Linked DNA regions of Mus musculus. The main gene of each other region encodes a partner of the protein of the gene in region 2 in a complex. Links are inferred from orthologs where the notes say so. Each region holds a gene or a part of one and is shown on either strand. Other genes may lie near its edges. The genes, in order: Ccm2 and Map3k3.

Region 1 (8,092 bases), about 99 Mb from region 2:
AGACAGGGGCCAGAATAGACCCCTCCCCACTTGTGACAACATGGCTTTCAACCAATTAGAATAGGAAAAAAAATGCTTGACAACTGGAGATTAAATTATTCACATTGCAGTAAACTTGTTTTTAAGGTCTCTGAGAAGTAGAAGAGGAAAGTCATGTGCAAATATCAGCTGTCCAGGGCCAGGCCGGCAGGACTGGCTCCCCTGCCAGCTGCCCCTGGCCCTCCCCGAGTGGGGATATGCTACAGGCATTGCTGAGCCCCTGAGGAATAGGCACAGAGGTTTCTGCCCTGTGGGGCACATGTCCTGTGGCAGCTCTCCACTCCTTCACAGTAGAGGACCTGGCCACCAGAGCTACCTTTCTCTTCAGCCCCTCCCTAGCTCCAAGCTGGGAAAGGCTGGCACTCAGGTCTGGGCACTCCTCCCAGGAAGGCCTGGGATGGCTGTGTGAGACAAGTGTGTGCTGTCCCGCTCCTTCACGCTGAGTCCTGGTCCATGCTGCAGCCTAGCGCTTCAATATCACTACTGATGTCTGAAATCATGCGGTCCCACTCATCCCCCTCTGAGGGCGCAGAGCGGTCATCAGGGCTGCCTGTGGTCCTGTTCCCATTGATGGTGGATGTGGAGGTGGTACTCAGGGCACGACGATGCCTACCAAAGCTGTCAGTGATGATGCCACGGCCGTCTTTCACGCCAATGGTCTCCAGGAAGTTTTCAAAGTGCTGACTGTCCTTCTCAGGTATGAAGGGTCTGAGACCTGGCAACACACAACCCGAGAGTGATACCTCAGAGTGACTCCTCAGAGTGACACCCCAGAGGGGCTCAGGACCCCAACCCCAAAGTGACATCTCAGAGGGGCTCAGAACCCCCACCCCAGAGTGACACCTCAGAGGGGCTCAGGACCCCCACCTCAGAGTGACACCTCAGAGGGGGCTCAGGACCCCAACCCCAGAGTGACACCTCAGAGGGGGCTCAGGACCCCAACCCCAGAGGGGGCTCAGGACCCCCACACCACACAAGCTGTGCCCTGGAGCCAGGTTTAATTAAACCTGACTGACAAGGGCCCCAGCTATGAATAGCTTGCCTTCTATCAATCTCACCCTCTAGCTTTGAGGCATGGCATCAGCCATCAGACCCTCGAAGCCCCTATCTAACAGGACAGAATGCAAAAGCCACAAAGCTATTGGCAATGAGGTCTGTCTTCAGAGCCAGGACTCATGCCGAAACCAGTCCTACTCAGGAAGACCATTATCTCAGAATCCCAAACCTTGATGTGGGCAGGCAGGCTGGGCCCCCACCCAGCCAGGATAAGGGTTTCATGAACACATCAGATGAGTTTACAGACCGCATTCTCCTGAGGTGGAGCCTTTAAGAGAACCCTGACATATCATGTTCACTACTAATTTCAGAACGCAGGAAACAGAAGCTAAGGCGCTCAAGGTCACCCTCCCCTACACAGAGAGTTTGAGGCCAGCCTGACCTGCATGAGACTCTGTATTCCTACAAAAGCCTGCTTAGGTGGGGGCCAGGAGGTGGTAGAGAGGCCTAGAAACAGTGCCAGACACAGGACTCTAAGCAGCAGGTATCCACAGCTCAACTTTCTTCCAACCTACTTTTTCTGAGATTCTTACTATATAGCTCAAAGCTAATCTTGAACTTGCTATCCTCCTGCCTCACGTCTCCTAAGTGCTCAGATTACATCTGGGTCCTGTCGTGCCTGGCTCTGTTGCCATTTCGGACATAGAGGTAGCAGCCGAGAACAAAATGGGAAGAAGCTGGCTTCAGGCTTCTGAATGTTCATTCTGGGCTAGATGCCAGGGACCTGGAATGTGAGCCTTGCTGGGTACCTGATCCTGCAGGGAGTGAGGTGCTCAGACTACGTCTAGTCTCTAGTCCTTCCTCACCACAGACAGCCCCAGGTAGATGCTGATGCTGATGCTCACCGGGCCTATACAACATAAGACCAGCTGGCCTCCCTGGTTTACTAGAGCACAGGAAGACCCTCAGAGCTTTCTGTGAGCTGAGCCATTCACTGTTCTGACTGCTGGAAGCAGGGGACGACACAGAGGGGAGGCTGATGTGGCAGCACTGTTCCTTCCACCGAGGCTGTTGTGGCAGCCTTACACCGAGACTGGCAGTGGCTCTGAAGGATGTGCCAGGCACTTTGTGAGTCTTGCACAAAGATGTACAAGAGAGGCGCCTTCTGTCTAGTTGGTGTCTTTGCTTCTCCACTCAACAAATTTCTACCTGTTCCCCAAAACCCACTGACAAAGGTACCCCCTTAAAGAGCCTGGACTCTTGCCAGCAGCACAGTTGAGATCTGATGGTTTTGTTTAGACTCAGTCTCAGGGCCTTCTCTCACTTCCTGGCAGAGCCCAACCAGCTCAGCTCAAGGCTCAGGCTCTGAGTAGAAGGAGAAGGGCCCTTCCAAGTACCTATGCCAGTCCTGCAGCCTCAGCCAAGCTATGATGAGACCCATGGGATGGAGCTCCTCCCTTCTGGACTCTGCACATTCCCAGAGGGGACCAGCGGCCCTCCGTGCCCCACTCACCAAGTAGCAGGAACTTGCGGCTGTCCCCATAGAGCTGCCGCAGGCTGATGCAAAACTCATGGATAGAGGCCCCATTGCGGTACTCATGTAGCAGAGCTGCGAACTGCTGGATCTCCTGTGATGACAGCTTCGTACGTAACTGTGAGGGAACAGAAGTGCAGAGTAAGGAGGGCTTAGTGTGGCCTTGCTGTAGAGGTAGAATGCCACCATGTGTCTGTCATCAGGGCCAACAGAGGAGCTACACAAGGAACCAGGGCAAACACAGATCTGCTGTCTTGAAACAAAAGGTTCCTCAGTAGGGCTAAAGAGAATGAAGCTAGCTCTGCGTGGAACAGCAAGGGTACACAGGGTGACCTGGGGGTACACAGAACCAGAAGGCTGACTTCAAACAGAGGCATCAGGCCCAGGCACCAGCAGAGCTGCTGTTTCGAATCAGTACCAGCATGGTCCAGACCAAACAGCCTAGCACCAACTCAGGCCCCCAGACCTCCCCCGCCCCCCCAGACCCAATAGTAAAGCCAGGCGAGTGAGGAGGCCACTGCCTACCGTGAGCATGTAGTCCTGCAGCAGTTCCGTGGCGCTGGTGCTCAGCTCGCTCTCACTGACAGTCTTGCTATGGGGTGATGTCTGCATGCAGAAGGGTAAGGGCGGCAGGCCTCCCACATCCCCAGAGTCCGGGAAGCAGCTGCAAAGCACAAGGTTCAATGTGGGTGGCCTCACAACCCAACCTCCTGTGGCTGCTGTGGGCTGGGGCCGACAGGCCTGCTCACAAATACAAGCACGAACACCGACTAAGGAGGACTGCTTGTGCATAAGCCACACATGGAGATAAAGGAGATCTCAGGAGCCAGCCAACCTGAGTGACTCTCAAATGGGCAAAGGGAGGGAGAGCTAGGGCAGAAGGCCGAGCCAGAGCTGACAGACAGCAGTAGAGGGTCAGGAAGGCTGCGCGAATGCTCTGGCTGGGCTAACAGGCTTTAGAAGGCTGCCCGGCATCACCATTTTGTGCCTTTTCCAAGGTTACTTCTGTGGAAGGTAGGGATGAGAAAGGACTGACAGGGCCTAGAGGCAGACTCTGTAGCTAAGAGGACTTGCAGGGCCAAGCTAGAGAGCAGACACGGAAGACCCAGCATTTGATGACGCACTTAGTGCGTGTACTCACAAGGTGCTGGCGTCAGCATCGTAACTGTCCTTCATGTCCACTTTCGTGGAAGAGTCATCTGTGCAAAAGACGTAGAGGACACAGAGGGTGAGAACTGCTGCCCTAGAGGCTTCCTTAATCTTCACCACACGTATATCTCTGCCTTTCCCAATGGCCTCGCCTCCCACTGACACACAGGAAGCCATGTTGAGCTCTCCCTCACATGACAGCCTCACCCAGCGCCACAGGCTGAGCAGGTGCGGAATTCAGCCTTTCATTGTGCAGACGGACTGCTGGACTACCCAGCCTGTGTTGTGTGGGCCAATCCAATGAACCCCCTTGTAGTATATATTCATTCTGTGGGTTTGTTCCCTAAAGAACACTAACAGATTATAGTATCAGGATAGGGCCTTTGCAGAAACAAACCTGAGTGTGTGGTTCATAGGCCTTGGAAACTGGCCGGTAGGAAGAATGTGGAAGAGCCTAGAACTTAGGGCTTAATGGGACACTCTGGTAGCAGTTTGGAAAACCAGAATGGTGACAGAAATGGACATGGTGAAAACTGCTCATATGTTTCAGGTATGGAATAGGCTCTATTGGGAACTAGGTTAAAGGCCATTCAGGTTACACCCTGGTATAGGAGCTGGTAGCACTCTGCTCATGTCCTGAACTAATGTATTTATGTAACAGGAAATTTCAAGGTGGAACAGCATTAGGCTTCAGTGAGGGTACTGCTCACCACTCTACCCAGGAGGACAGGAAGACCTCAAATAAAGCTGAAGAGACTTTGTGTTCCTTGAAAACAATTACCCAACAAAGTGTATGCTGCTGCCATGGTGGTCCATGAGGTCCAAGAGCTGGGGTACAACTTGACAGTACTGTCCACATGGTATTGGTGATAGAGGCATGAAAAATGCAAGACTGAGGGGCCGTGGTAACTTATACCATGGTTCCAGAAAGCTGCTAAAGCCAAGCAACATTTAGCAGGATCAGAACCCTACAAGGAAGCCCAGGGATGAGACACCACGGTTTGGGGCTGTGAAGGTAAAGCCTACGTTGCAGCACAGACCTCAGGATGTTGCAGAGGCCAGAAACTAAGGCATGTCTGTGAAAGAAAGCTAGATTGTTGATCGTAGCCATCCCAGGAAAGAGGCTGTGAGCTGCAGACAAAAAAAGCCAGAGACCCTTGGAGCTGGGGCTATCCCACCATGTGCCCAGATACTGTTGCTTCCCACTTGGTTTTGGTCTTACAGATCTTTGATCTTTCCCTGCTCTGCCCCATCCTTCCTTTTGGAGGGAAAATGTTCACCCTGTGCCACTGTGTCCTAGAAGTGGATTCAAAGTATGTAACCTGGCTTTGGTAAAGGTCTGTCATGTGTTCTGGGGAGAGACTGGACTTTTGAACAGTACTGGGACTGTCAAGGGCCACAGGGACTTCTGAAGTTAGAATGAATTCATTTTGCATCACTTGACTGCCATTTGCATGCTGGGATGGGCCTCCAGCAACTGGTTTGAATGTCAACTGTTTCCCACAGGTTGTTTCAACACTCATGGGTTTGAACGTTTAATCTCCAACTGGTGGCACTGTATGAGAAATCTATGGAGTTTTGCTGAAGAAAGGGGTCACTAGCTTTGATGTGTTGCAACCTAGCCCCACTTGCTCCTCTCCCTCCTGGTTTCCCAACCACAAATGCTACAGAGCCTTCTGACACCTGCCACCATGCCTCCCCCTCCAGCTGTGGCTTCCTCATCATGAGGGGAGGCCATAACCATCCCTCCCTCACACTGCACCTTGTTAGGTATTAGGTACCGCAGTGAGAAATGTAACTCAGGTAAGAAGTGTGCTACTGTAAAACAGGGTCTGCCTACGTAGCCCAGGCTGGTCTCAAACTTGTAGCAATCCTCCTGCCTCTATCTCCTGGGTTCTAGGATAACAGATATGTCACCACACCCAGACAGGAAGTATCTACAGACTAGCAGGAGGTCTGCACAGCACTTCCACTAGCCTTTATCGTGGTGCAGAGGTACGGCCCTGCCACTCTCCAGTTTCCTGGTCTCGGCCTTTCACAAAGCCAGAACAACTTCAAGCATCTCGCTGTGCTCTTGCAAGGGGCCACACGCTGAGAGCTGCTCGGGCATACCAAAAGGCCCCCAAAACGGGCCCCACCTACCCAGTTCCCCAGCATCCCTGTCTGGGAACCTATGCTTCCAGATGAACTGCTCATGACCCCTAGCCGGCCCCTTCCATTCAACATACCACTGTGCAGCGACAGGTGGTGGGTAGGTGTGGAAGCCCCATCAAATATTGCTCGGTCCAGAAAGTCGATGGTGGACTCCGTGTAAACAATCTGGAAGACCTGGCTGAGCAGGGAGCACAACTCTTCAGCGGCGACCTAGAGTGAGTGAATAACAGCAACCGTCCTCAGTGGCTAACGCTGCAGACAGCACTTTCCCACAGTCTCTAGGGTACCCATAATGTCTCAGAGGCACCAACAATATAAATGGGGAGCAGACCAGAACCAAAGGGCCCAGTGCCTGTCACAGCCCAGGGTATCACAAAACAGAAACAGGCCTGAGAAGAGACTATGGCCCAGTGTGGCCCTTACAGGCATCTGAAGGCCACGGGTGTTGGCATCAGCTTTGCCTCCTCTTCCGGTAACTGGTCATCAATGTTCAAAATTCCCATCTAAGCCCAAGTAAGAGAGAGAAGACATCCTGGTCTCACTTCCAACCTTAGACATTTCCAAAAGAAGTAGCGTCCTTCTGTAACAGTGTGCTGTTTAAAACAGGGCTTCTTTAGAGGGTTAATTTTGTCCAGAACCGTAGAACAGTATCTGGGGACATTGCTCAGACTCTGCAGTGCTTCGGTAGCTGCCCACAACAAAGTATTTGATTGAGAGCATCACTAGCACGTAGGCTAAGTGAGGTGAGCCAGAGGACATTTAGGTGGGAAGTCACCATTAGTCAATGAAAGCAAGAGGCAAAAACTGCATGGAAGATGTCAAGTGAGTCCTGAGGCTCCACGGCTCATCTTTGTGCCGCTGTGACTGCCATGTGCTGAGGAAACGCTATCTTTGTTTGAAGTACCAGGAGGGCGTGGTATACAGGTCGCCATGCCTGTAGCCATCACTATCAGTCAGTGTGAGAGTGGGGAGAGGCATTCCAAAGAGGAGACTGGTAAGCAAACGCTCTACTGACCATCTTGGGGATGGTGCTTGAGGACTGGCCAAGAGAGCCTATGGGCAAGGCTGGCAGAGGGGAGTGAGGTAGATGAACTGGGTATGGGAGGTACCCTCTGGAACCTGGGAGTGTGGGCAGCTGTGGTTATAGGTAGGGACATTTATTAGGTCATGGACAGGGCTTGGTCAGGGAGAAACTCTGGGAAGGGACAATGTGTGAAGTAGTGCTAGACAGAGCAGAAGGAAGGGCTGGCTAGAGCCAGGATTCTAAGGCTGGCGTCGGATCTTGGGTAGGGCTGGGCTAGAGGCAAGGCAGCCTCTAATCACAGGTAGGACCAGGATGTGCTGGGTCTCGGGCAAGGCTTGGACAGCTCTGGTACACAACAGGGAGGTCTCACCTTGCTCTCTGTGGCCATGATGACCAGGCAACATGCCTCTACTGGCCCCACTGCACTTTCTGACAAGGAACCTGCGCTGAGGCCTCTAGAACTTTCTGCACACAGACTCTGGCTGGGAGAGATGCCTGGGTCCTGGGCTGAGAAGTAAACACATCAGTTAGTGCAGTGCATGGAGGGCAGGCACGAGGGCAGCTGAGGTACCAGCAAGAACATTCACTCCCCAGGGCCTGTGAGATGTCTCAGTGCAAAAGCACTCGCCATGCAAGGCCGACAACCTGAGCGCCATCCCCAGGAACCCAATAATGGTGGAAGATGAGAAGCAGCTCCACCCAGCTGTCCTCTGACCTCTACATGCACACCACGGCACAGGTGTTCACGCCAGCACAGCATGGTGTGTGTGCGTGCGTGTGTATAAAATAAAAATAAATCTATAAAAAAAATTTGAAAAGCAAAAAAAAAAAAAATCTATAAATAAAATCCAACCCCTAGACCTTCCAAACAAAACTAGCTTGTGAGAGGTACAGGGCACCTAAGCACCCATCTTCATATCCCACTGTGCCAAACCATGCCAGCTGGCCTTCAACTGCTTAGAGCTAAGGCAGGAGCGTACACTACTCAAGTTAACAGACTACAAATAATTCCAGCAGGGGTCCACGCCTCAAGGGAGTTGGGGCCTAAGGCATTCTCTTCCTGCAGAAGAATAAACTAAAGTGAGGGACCTGAAAGCCTGTGACTGGCCTAGCTGTAGATAAGGACAAGGCCCAAGGCCACATCCTCACATTGTACACAAAAACGTATACACTGGAAACGCAAGGAGTTGTCCAGG
Region 2 (9,531 bases):
CAAACAATCTCTTTTCCACATTTACAAATCCCCAAAGTAATATTTTGTTGGTCGCAGTTTTTTAAGACAAGGTGGCCCTGGCTGTCCTGGAACTTGCTATTCAGACCAGGTTTACCACCTGCCTTTCTCCCAAGTGCTGGAATTAAAGGAGTGCTCTGCCACACCCAGTCTAAAGTAATTTCAATTTTTGTTTTCACTTAAGTAATGATGTTATTTCTTCATCTTGCCAAGGCTCTGTCTTAGCTCTGCCAGGTCATCTGATCATACTGTTCAACTCAAGAGTCTGTGCTCCAGAGTCCCTGAGTCAGATTTTACTTTCTCTTCATGACATTTCATGTATTTCCACTGCCTCTACGCTGACCATATTCAGACAAAAAAAAAATTTTCCATTATATTTTTATTGATTGTTTGGGAATCTGACAGCATGCACCCCACCACACTTACTTCCCAGTCCTCCCAGGTCTGGCCTCCTCACTGGCAAAAATAATTTACAGTAAGTATGCACAACCAAACCCCATCTTCGATCCAAAAAAATTTCTTCTTCAAGAACAAGGGTGAGGGACTCAGCCTTTAAAATCTCTTGCCATGCAAGCCTAATGCTTAGATCCACTGTGGAAGAAAAGAAGTGACTCACAAAAGCTGTCCTTTAACCTCCACATGTTGGTGCACACACACACACTCTTGCACACACACTCACACAGATAGACACACTTTTAAAAAAACATGGTTCAGCCAAGCACAGTGCATACCAGTTCATGGGCAAGTTTAGTTTGAGCCAAGTGTAGGCCACATGAGACCCAGTTTAAAAAAAAAACAACAACAACAACAGACAATGGTTGAAGCCAAGAGTGGCGACTCACATATGTAACCCTACCAACTAGGAAGCAGAGGCAGGCAGATCTCTGTGAATTCCAAGCTACGCTGCTCTACATAGTGAGCTGTAGGCCAGCCAGCTACAGGTTAAGACTGTCTCAACTCTTCTTCAAAATTTTAAAGATAATGAAAACTTTTAAAAGTACAGTATTTAATTTTTTTATTTAAAAGTTAAATATAGCCGGGCGTGGTGGCGCACACCTTTAATCCCAGCACTTGGGAGGCAGAGGCAGGCGGATTTCTGAGTTCGAGGCCAGCCTGGTCTACAGAGTGAGTTCCAGGATAGCCAGGGCTATACAGAGAAACCCTGTCTCAAAAAACCAAAAAGTTAAATGTGTATTGTTCTATTACTAGGAGATATAACAATCTACCAAAGTTAATGGCTCAAATGCATATTACAAAGTAAAGCACTGCTTGCTAGTAAGAATCAATAGAATCACCACTTTACACCCTTTGTGTGTATGCATCTGCAGGTCTTGTGCATGTGCCTCTCTAAGTCAAAGGTTGATATCAGGCATCTTCCTGTACATCTCTCCAAACTTTGGGGAACAGGATCTCTCACTCATGTAGGATGGCTGGCCAGCAGGCACCAGGAATCCTCCTGAAGACCTGCCCAGGCACAAGTCACCACGCCTGGCTTTTCACATAGGTAACAGGGATTTAAACCTCAAGTCTTCACACTTGCATAGCAAGCACCTTACTAAGCCAGCCCTTTGTCATTATATTTTAACACTTGGTGAAACTAACTTAAAAGACTAGAGACTATATTATATTACATGTGTGTTTTGTGTGTGTGTGTGTCCCAACTCTTAAAATACAGAATGGTCTCTTCTTGTGAACAATTGCACACTATCATTTTTTATTTTTCATTTATTTATCCTTAATTTTTTTGTGTACTTGTGGGTGTGCACATGAGGGGCTCACCTGTGCATATACATGTGGAGAGCAGAACACTTGGTGCGCTTTACCTTTCTGTCTTAAAATGGGGTCCCTCACTGAACTGGAAGTACACCATTTCAGCTAAGCTGGTTAGCCAAACAGGGAGCTCTCAAGAGCTACATGCCTTCTCCCCCAATGCTGGGGTTACAGGTTAAAGCCTTTCCTAGCTTTTAATGCAGATGCCACAGACTCAGACTCAGGTCTTTATGCTTGCTGGGCAAGCACTCTTACTCACTAAACTGTCTTTTCCACCCACAACTGTCATTTAAAAAAATATCAAAAGTCAGGGCTGGGAGAGATGGCTCAGCAGTTAAGAGCTCTGGCTGTTCTTCCAGAGAACAGAGGCTTAATTCCCAGCACCTACATGCCAGCTCACAACAGTATGTTATTCTAGTTTCATGGGATCTGACATCCCCTTCCAGACTGAGGGCTCCAGGCCCACATGTAGTATGTACACACACACACACATACACACACACACACACACACACACACACACTTGCAGGTAAAACACATTACACGTTAAAAGAAATAATTTAATACTACGTCAAAATTCTACACGAGACATGTATGGATGCCCTGAGATCCTGTCTCAAAAACAAGAATCAGGAGCAGGAGAGGTCATTCAGCGGGTAAGAGCTTGTCCCACTTTTCTAAAGGACCTGAGCTCAGCTCCTAGCACCCTCACCCTCATCATGCAGCTCACAACTTCCTGCAACTCCAGCTTTGATAGATCTCTCTTTTGACATTCACACAAACACATGCATATAAATAAAAATAAATCTTAAAAAAAAAAAAAAACTGTCTTCAGACACAACAGAAGAGGACATCGAATCCCATTACAGATGGTTGTAAGGGAATTGCGCTCAGGACCTCTGGAAGAGCAGTCAGTGTTCTTAACCACTGAGCCATCTCTCCAGCCCCATAAAAATAAACCCTAAAAAAGAAGGAGGAGGAGGAGGAGGAAGAGGAAGAAGAGGAGGAGGAGAACAACAACAACAAAAAGGAAAGAAAAATCAAAATCTACTCATGATATAGGCATGTTAATTTATTAAACTGTGATTCAAGATTCTCTCAAAACAGTTGTTAATCATGCTGAGCTTACTACAGTCTAGACATATTGAGACTGTTCTTAGGTTCTCCCAAAAGCCTTGGAACCATAAAAACTCAAACCTAGTTCTGTAAGTTATAATTATTACAATTCAAACCAAGTTGTCAATCCAGAACCAACCATTTTTAATCCTGTATTCAGTTCCCTAGATTCCTGTAATATTTCCAAGTCCTTACCCAGTTTTAATACATTCCCCTAAGCTTCAAGTTATATTTAGAAAAAGAACAAATAAACAAGAACAAATAAGTCCCAGGAATTATTAACAGCATTACTATAATTACTGGAGGAAATTCTAGTATGTCCAAGAAAAAAAATTTTTCAATAGTCACACAGTTTCAAAGCCAAAAAACTAAACAAAGATTTCCCACTTTTTACAAGGATAAGTTGCAGCATCCACTAGACTTTTGCTGAGGCTAACAGACAATATAAAATCTGACCTGTTTTTACTAATAAGTCAAGTTGTCAAACAGGCTTCAGTCTGGAGCATAGAACCACTCAGGAAAATATGACTATGGATTAAAGTATCTGCAGAGCAGATATGCAAATTAATTTTAGCCTCTAGTCACTGGCCTGGAGTTTAAATGTAATGAAAATATTAAGAAATTAGATTCTTCTTTATTAAATGTTTGAGTTTGTTTGTTTATTAGGTTCTGAGGAAACAGGAATTACAATAAATTTAAGAACAGCCTGGTCTACACAGCAAGTTCCAGGGTAGCTAGGACTACACAAGAAGACTATCTCAGAACAACAACAAACAACAAAAACAAAAAAGGAAGAAAGAAAGAGCTAGAGAGATGGCTTAGAAGTTAAGAAGACATACAGGGTGATCTTCCAGACAACTTGGGTTCAATTCCCAGCACACACATAGCAGCTCAAAACTGTCTGTAGCTCACACCCTCACACAGGTATACATGCAAGCAAAACACCAATGCAGATGAAATAAAAATAAATAATTTTTTAAATGTGAGAGAAAGACAGAGAGAGGAAAGCAAAGGTATTTAAGAGAATGCTAGGGACGGAGCTCAGTGACAGATGCCTGCCTAGCCTTCACAAGACTTAGGTTTGATGCCCAGCACTGGAAACACAAATACATTTAAAAAGTGACATGGGCTCAAATAAAAAGACACCATGCTCCCTGTTCTTTTTCCTTTGGGACTTTACCCACGGAGTTTCTTTCCTCCCAGCAAGGCCTTTCCGAAAACATGTTCATACACTAGCTGAAAACATCTTCAAATTTGAAAACAGGCTCTCCTCTATTTTCATACTAGATAATGAGACGTTGCCGTCATTATTGGATACTCACACACTGGTTTTACAACCAAAGTGTTCCATGTGAGGTCTGTATATCCTCAAGGGTCTCATACTCCCGTTTGCGACTTAAGGCTCACACACCGGGCAAGAAGGAAAGCGTATAAGACTATTACAATACAGGTCCATAATTCAAAGATCTAGCTTAAAGTCTGTAGCAGTAGGTAAATGTGGGGAAACAGGGAAGGATAAAAAGAATTCTGTTCCCCAATAATATATAAGGAAATATGTGCCCCATATAATAAGCATTCCATAAACATTTATTGGAATATATTGTATTAGACATGTGAATAAATAAATGTTGAAATGTAAATCCTTACTAGTTTCCTTTGGTGTCTCTCAGATGAGAGTTCTATAGAAAAAAAAATCTGAAATATAGCATGGAAAGGGAATAGAAAACCCAGCAAATGAACAAATCCTTCCCATACTGTATGAGGGGCAGTCTGATAAAGAACAAAGCAATTAACTTAAAGCCAGAGTAAGGAGTTCCACCACAATCGAGTATCTGGCCAATTTGCTACTGCACCCACAAAACCTCCTACAAAAATGACTTGACCTTGCTTTAGGGCAAAACAAACATTAGCATTTCATCTTATGGAGCACTCACACAAGCAATGAATACTTCTGCAAAGGAGACTTTCACTAAATTTCACCCCTTTCTGACTTAGAATAATACTAAATATTTTTGCAAAACCTGATTGAGACCAGGAAAATGAGCATCACAATACCTGCCCCAACTGGGGAAGCAAAATATATTTAAAATGTCACACATTCCTTAGCTAAGTCCAAGACTTTTTGATAAAGAACCAAAATTATGCAAAATATATATAAAACAGCTCAAATATTTTGTAGAAGGCATTAAAAAAACTTTTCTTAGATTACATCTTCACAGGAGAATTACAAATACTGACAAAAAGGAAATGATTTCATAGTGATCCTTTTATGTACCGAATGCCTCTTTCAAAAAGTTACATAGTTGCAGGGGTAGCGCAGGATAAATATAAAAGCCGGGTTTTTCCAAAAGTAGGGTTTGAGTTATAACCCTCAGCGCTCAAGGATTCTTAACTTCCAGTAATCTGCGAGGAGCGCAGCTCGCATTTCTCAAGCCTGCTATTGCTAACAGGGATCCGCGTCGAATAGCGTCGCAGTGGATGCCCCGCATACCCTCCCCCCGCGTCCCCCTCCCCCGCGCAGGAGAGCGCACAGAGCTCCAGAGCAAAGCCCCGGGAACTCACAGGCCAGCCTGTGTGAGCAAAGGGAAGGAAATGACACAGGCAGGAAAAAAAAAAAAAAAAAAAAGCAAATCAAGGAAAAGACACAACAGCAGCTGGGCCTGCACCAGGCTCCAGCCCCGGCCCCACACTGAGCTCCGGCTCCCCCACCCTCAAGCTCGCGCGCCAGCTCGCTGGGGACCGCAGTGGGCCGCCCGACGGGCCTCGGTCCCGCAGACCCCTCCCCGGGATACGCCGGCCGCATGCCCGGAAAGAGAGTTGCCGAGTGGGTTTGGCCGGTAGGGCACCCCCGGAGGTAGCCAGAACGGCGCCCCGATCGAGGCACCGCGGAGAGGCGAGCGGTCCGCGATCCTCAGCCCCGGGCCCGGCGAACTGTCCATGCCTTGTCAGGCGGCGGCCCAGGGTCCTCCTCCCCTCAGCCTGGGGCGGGGCGTCGCGAAGCAGCGCGGGCACAGGCCGGGGCGGTGGCGGTACTCACCCATGGTGGCGATGGCGGAGGCGGCGGTGGCGACTACAGCCCAGAAGTGTCACCTCCGCAGCCGGGGCTGCATGCCGGGGGAGCGGGCGGCGGGGACGGCAGCGGGCCTGGCTCCGCGCGGGGGCCGTGGGCTGCGCTCGGGGCCCCCGCCGCCTCCCCAGGCTCCGGCTCCGGCCGCGGCCGGGCGCTGTGGCATGAGCAGGTTGGCCCGCTACATCCCCGGCGCTCCCAGGCTCGGCCCAACCCGGCCTCGGCGGCGCCACTCGACCGGGCCGCCTGCGAGTCCTGAAGTCCAGAAGACGCTCCGACCGGCCACTGTTCTCCACCTCAGGAACGCTCCGAAAAACAAACCGCTGGGCGCGCAGCAAGCCTTGCAGCCTGTCACTCATGCCAGCATCTGCCAATCGCATGCAGCCGCTGGGCCTTGGCACTACCCCCACTCTCATTACCAGCCAATAACCAGGAGGAAGTCAGATACTCCCGCCTCCTCCTCCCCGCTCTCTCCCAACGCCCTCACTCTCATCCGCCAGCTAATCACGACGGACCAATCCCGCCTACTCTCACAGGATGCCAATGGGCGAAGTCAAGGCGATTTCCGAGGGCTGGCTAGAGCCTGCCAATCACTGAGACAGCGCCCGTCCTCTCGCGCCTAGCCAATCACGGAGAGAGCGCTGAGTACCCGCCGCGGAGTGTCGCTAGCTGGCGCTCTCAGCCTCTCTGGCCAAGGTGTGGGCTGCTCCAATCACTGCTCCGGCTTGAGGCTCCGCCCACAACCCTCTGCTCAGTTGCGGAACCCTCGGCGGGCGCGCGGGCTGGCGCCGTTCCCCTCGGCGGCTACCCCGGCCTGGCGCCTTGCAAAGTCGTCTTCTGTAGAGGCCCTCAGAAAAAGAAAACCTTCGGCCCTATGGTTGTCGGTTGTTGGCGACCTCGAGGTGCTGAGGTGTCCGGCCCCTGCTGGGGCAAAGTGTCTGGCGCGGATTGGGCAGGGAAGGTTTGGCTCGATGCTTTCAGGCTACTTGAGCTGCGCGATACCCTGAGTAGCCTCGGCTTACAGGCAGGGGGATGGTCTTGTTACTTCTCTCATCCCCCTGGGTCTCAGACCTCCGAGGCCACACCTGATACTCCGTCTTCAAAGGCTAGGCTAGTGCTGGAATGTGGGTCCCCACATTCTGAGTTCTGCTAGAGTTGCTTTTGGACAAGTTTTGCTCTTAGAATTATAAAAGCGAGACACGTTTTTAAAAGAAAACTTAAAAGTGCAGGAAAACAGAAAGAAAAGCCCTACCCTGAAGATAGTTTTATCTATTTCCTACCTAGATATGCAACGTTAGACAAAAAATAACTTCATATTGTTTTCTGGTGTGCTTACACTTTTGTGCTTCCTGTGCCACTAAATATTGTCTCAAAACAATTGTACTGGCTGTGTGATCTTTCAAAAGAGCATTGTGATTAACTTTTTCAACCTCCATTGTTTCAATAATTCATACACCCAGTCTTAAGATTCCAACTCTACCACAGTTAGTGTGGCTTCCCTTTCTCTGGAGACAGTTCCAATGACATATTTCAGATTCCAGAAAAATCTGATGCCATTTTCAGTTGTCATTTAGAAACACTTACCTTAGGAGGTGGCTTTGGAGTATCAGATCTCTTAAGGAGTGTCTTACGCAATTCTTTTTCTTCATCCCCACTCTCAACCCATACTATTAACTTTATTGTCCTCTCTCTCTCTCTCTCTCTCTCTCTCTCTCTCTCTCTCTCTCTCTCGTGTGTGTGTGTGTGTGTGTGTGTGTGTGTGTGTGTGTACGAGGTGTTTGTTGTTTGAGACAGAGTCTCTAACCTAGACTGTCCTGGAACTTTTTTTTTTGTTTTTTTGTTTTTTTGTTTTCCGAGACAGGGTTTCTCTGTAGTCCTGGAACTTCTTTGTAGTCTGGTCTGAAACTCACAGATCTATCTGCCTCTACCCCCTGAGTACTGGGATTAAAATTAAAGGCCTGTGCCACTGTATCTAACTCGTTTTTCTTCAAACTCTCAAGTCTCATATTCTCACTTGATTAAGTCCCTAATTTATGCCGGGTAATGATGGTGAACGCCTTTAATCCCAGCACTTGGAAGGTAGAGGCAGAGGCAGGCAGATTTCAGAGTTTGAGGCCAGCCTGGTCTACAGAGTGAGTTCCAGAACAGCCAGGGTTACACAGAGAAACCCTGTCTCAAACAAACAAACAAAACAAAGAAGTCCCTAATTTACTGAAGTGCCTGAAATAGAATAATCTTTTTTTTTTTTTCTGGTGAAGAAACAATAGGGAAAAACACCAGCTATTTACTAGATCCCAGCCATGTAATCTCACTTAGCCTCTCCAATGACTGAGCTAGTAAGCTTCCTCTTTCTGCCTTTCCTTCAGATGCCTTTCTTGTGAATTCGATTCCCACTGTTTGTCCCTCAGCCACTGAAGTCAAACATTTCCATGCTGCAGTTACCCTGTGTGCTGAGGATTCCAGCTCAGGCAGGTCTTGGTTCTAAGCTCCCGAGGCAACATTCCTGAGCATTCCACAGGCACCTCACATTCTACAGGTCCAAACTGAACCCATCGCTTCCCTCCACTGTTCACATTTCCTCTGCTCATCAGTTCCCCAAGGAAGACACCGAGTGATCAGGTCTCCAGTCCTTCTGCCTCTCTTTCACCCTAGCTCCGCTAGCCCAGTTCAAACCATCAACATCTCTTACTTCATTTACTTAAAGTGTATTCACACCACAGACTTTCTATCAGAAACATGATCCTAGAGAACCCTATTTACAAATATTATAACCCATCAGTTTTAAGATGAGTCAAATAGGGGCTGGAGAGAGAGCTCAGCAGTAAAGAGTGCTTGTTGCTCTTGCAGAGAAGAGAGCCCAGGTTCAGTTACCATCACCCACATTGGTCAGCTCACAGCTGCTTGTAAATCCAACTCTAGGGGATGGGCCCTCATTTCAACTCCACAAGTACCATGCATGCATGTTGTCATACACAAATATAAACCAGGCACACGCATGTACCGATCATTTAAAAAAAAAAAAAAAGAATCAAATGTGAAAGAGGTAACAAAGTATTCTCACCCCAAGTCCATGCTGCAGCCACACTAAAAATTCCTCAAATCAATCTCAACTTTTCAATCCATTCCCCGTGATGGTTTGCATATGCTCGGCCCAGGGAGTGGCACTATTAGAAGGTGTGGCCTTGTTGGAGTAGATGTGTCACTGTGGATGTGTGCTATAAGACCCTCATCCTAGCTGCCTGGAAGCCAGTATTCTGTTAGCAGCCTTCAGACGAAGATGTGGAACTCTCAGCTCTGCCTGCAACATGCCTGCCTGGATGCTGCCATGTGTCCTGCCTTGATGATAATGGACTGAACCTCTGAATCTGTCAGCCAGCCCCAATTAAATATTGTCCTTATAAGAGTTACCTTGGTCATAGTGTCTGTTCACAGCTGTAAAACCCAAACTAAGACATTCCCCTCCCTGTCTCCCTCCCCACACAGTCGTATGTGTACTATGTTCTTTGTGGTGAGTGTACTCCATTTCTGCTCCCAGTCTCAGTCCTTCTAGGGAGGATTAA

Evidence for each region.
Region 1: the proteins of Map3k3 (region 2) and Ccm2 are in contact, whole or in part, in a crystal structure (PDB 4Y5O), measured with the Homo sapiens proteins. The link is inferred for Mus musculus from reciprocal best matches to the Homo sapiens genes MAP3K3 and CCM2. Residues at the interface, in NP_002392.2 of Homo sapiens: Asp2, Glu3, Gln4, Ala6, Leu7, Ser9, Ile10, Met11, Asn12, Asp13, Leu14, Val15, Ala16, Leu17, Glu50, Asp82, His84, Met86, Asn88, Glu89, Leu90, Ser91, Ile92, Leu93, Arg117, Leu119, Leu121, Ser122, Gln123, Asp124; in NP_113631.1 of Homo sapiens: Leu299, Tyr302, Met303, Leu306, Arg307, Ser312, Gln313, Ile315, Gln316, Gln317, Phe318, Ala319, Ala320, Leu321, Leu322, His323, Glu324, Arg326, Glu333, Ile336, Asn337, Gln340, Leu341, Leu353, Phe356, Pro358.

The regions. Positions count from the first base shown.
Region 1 is NC_000077.6:6,588,743-6,596,834, reverse strand, and holds the end of Ccm2 (cerebral cavernous malformations protein 2 homolog), read right to left. Parts: intron 7,404-8,092; coding exon 7,267-7,403; intron 6,083-7,266; coding exon 5,947-6,082; intron 3,769-5,946; coding exon 3,711-3,768; intron 3,234-3,710; coding exon 3,095-3,233; intron 2,688-3,094; coding exon 2,549-2,687; intron 755-2,548; coding exon 474-754; 3' UTR 74-473; downstream 1-73. UniProt on the Homo sapiens protein: Component of the CCM signaling pathway which is a crucial regulator of heart and vessel formation and integrity. May act through the stabilization of endothelial cell junctions. May function as a scaffold protein for MAP2K3-MAP3K3 signaling.
Region 2 is NC_000077.6:106,081,344-106,090,874, reverse strand, and holds the start of Map3k3 (mitogen-activated protein kinase kinase kinase 3), read right to left. Parts: upstream 6,289-9,531; 5' UTR 5,946-6,288; coding exon 5,942-5,945; intron 5,914-5,941; exon of another isoform or gene 4,227-5,913; intron 1-4,226. UniProt on the Homo sapiens protein: Component of a protein kinase signal transduction cascade. Mediates activation of the NF-kappa-B, AP1 and DDIT3 transcriptional regulators.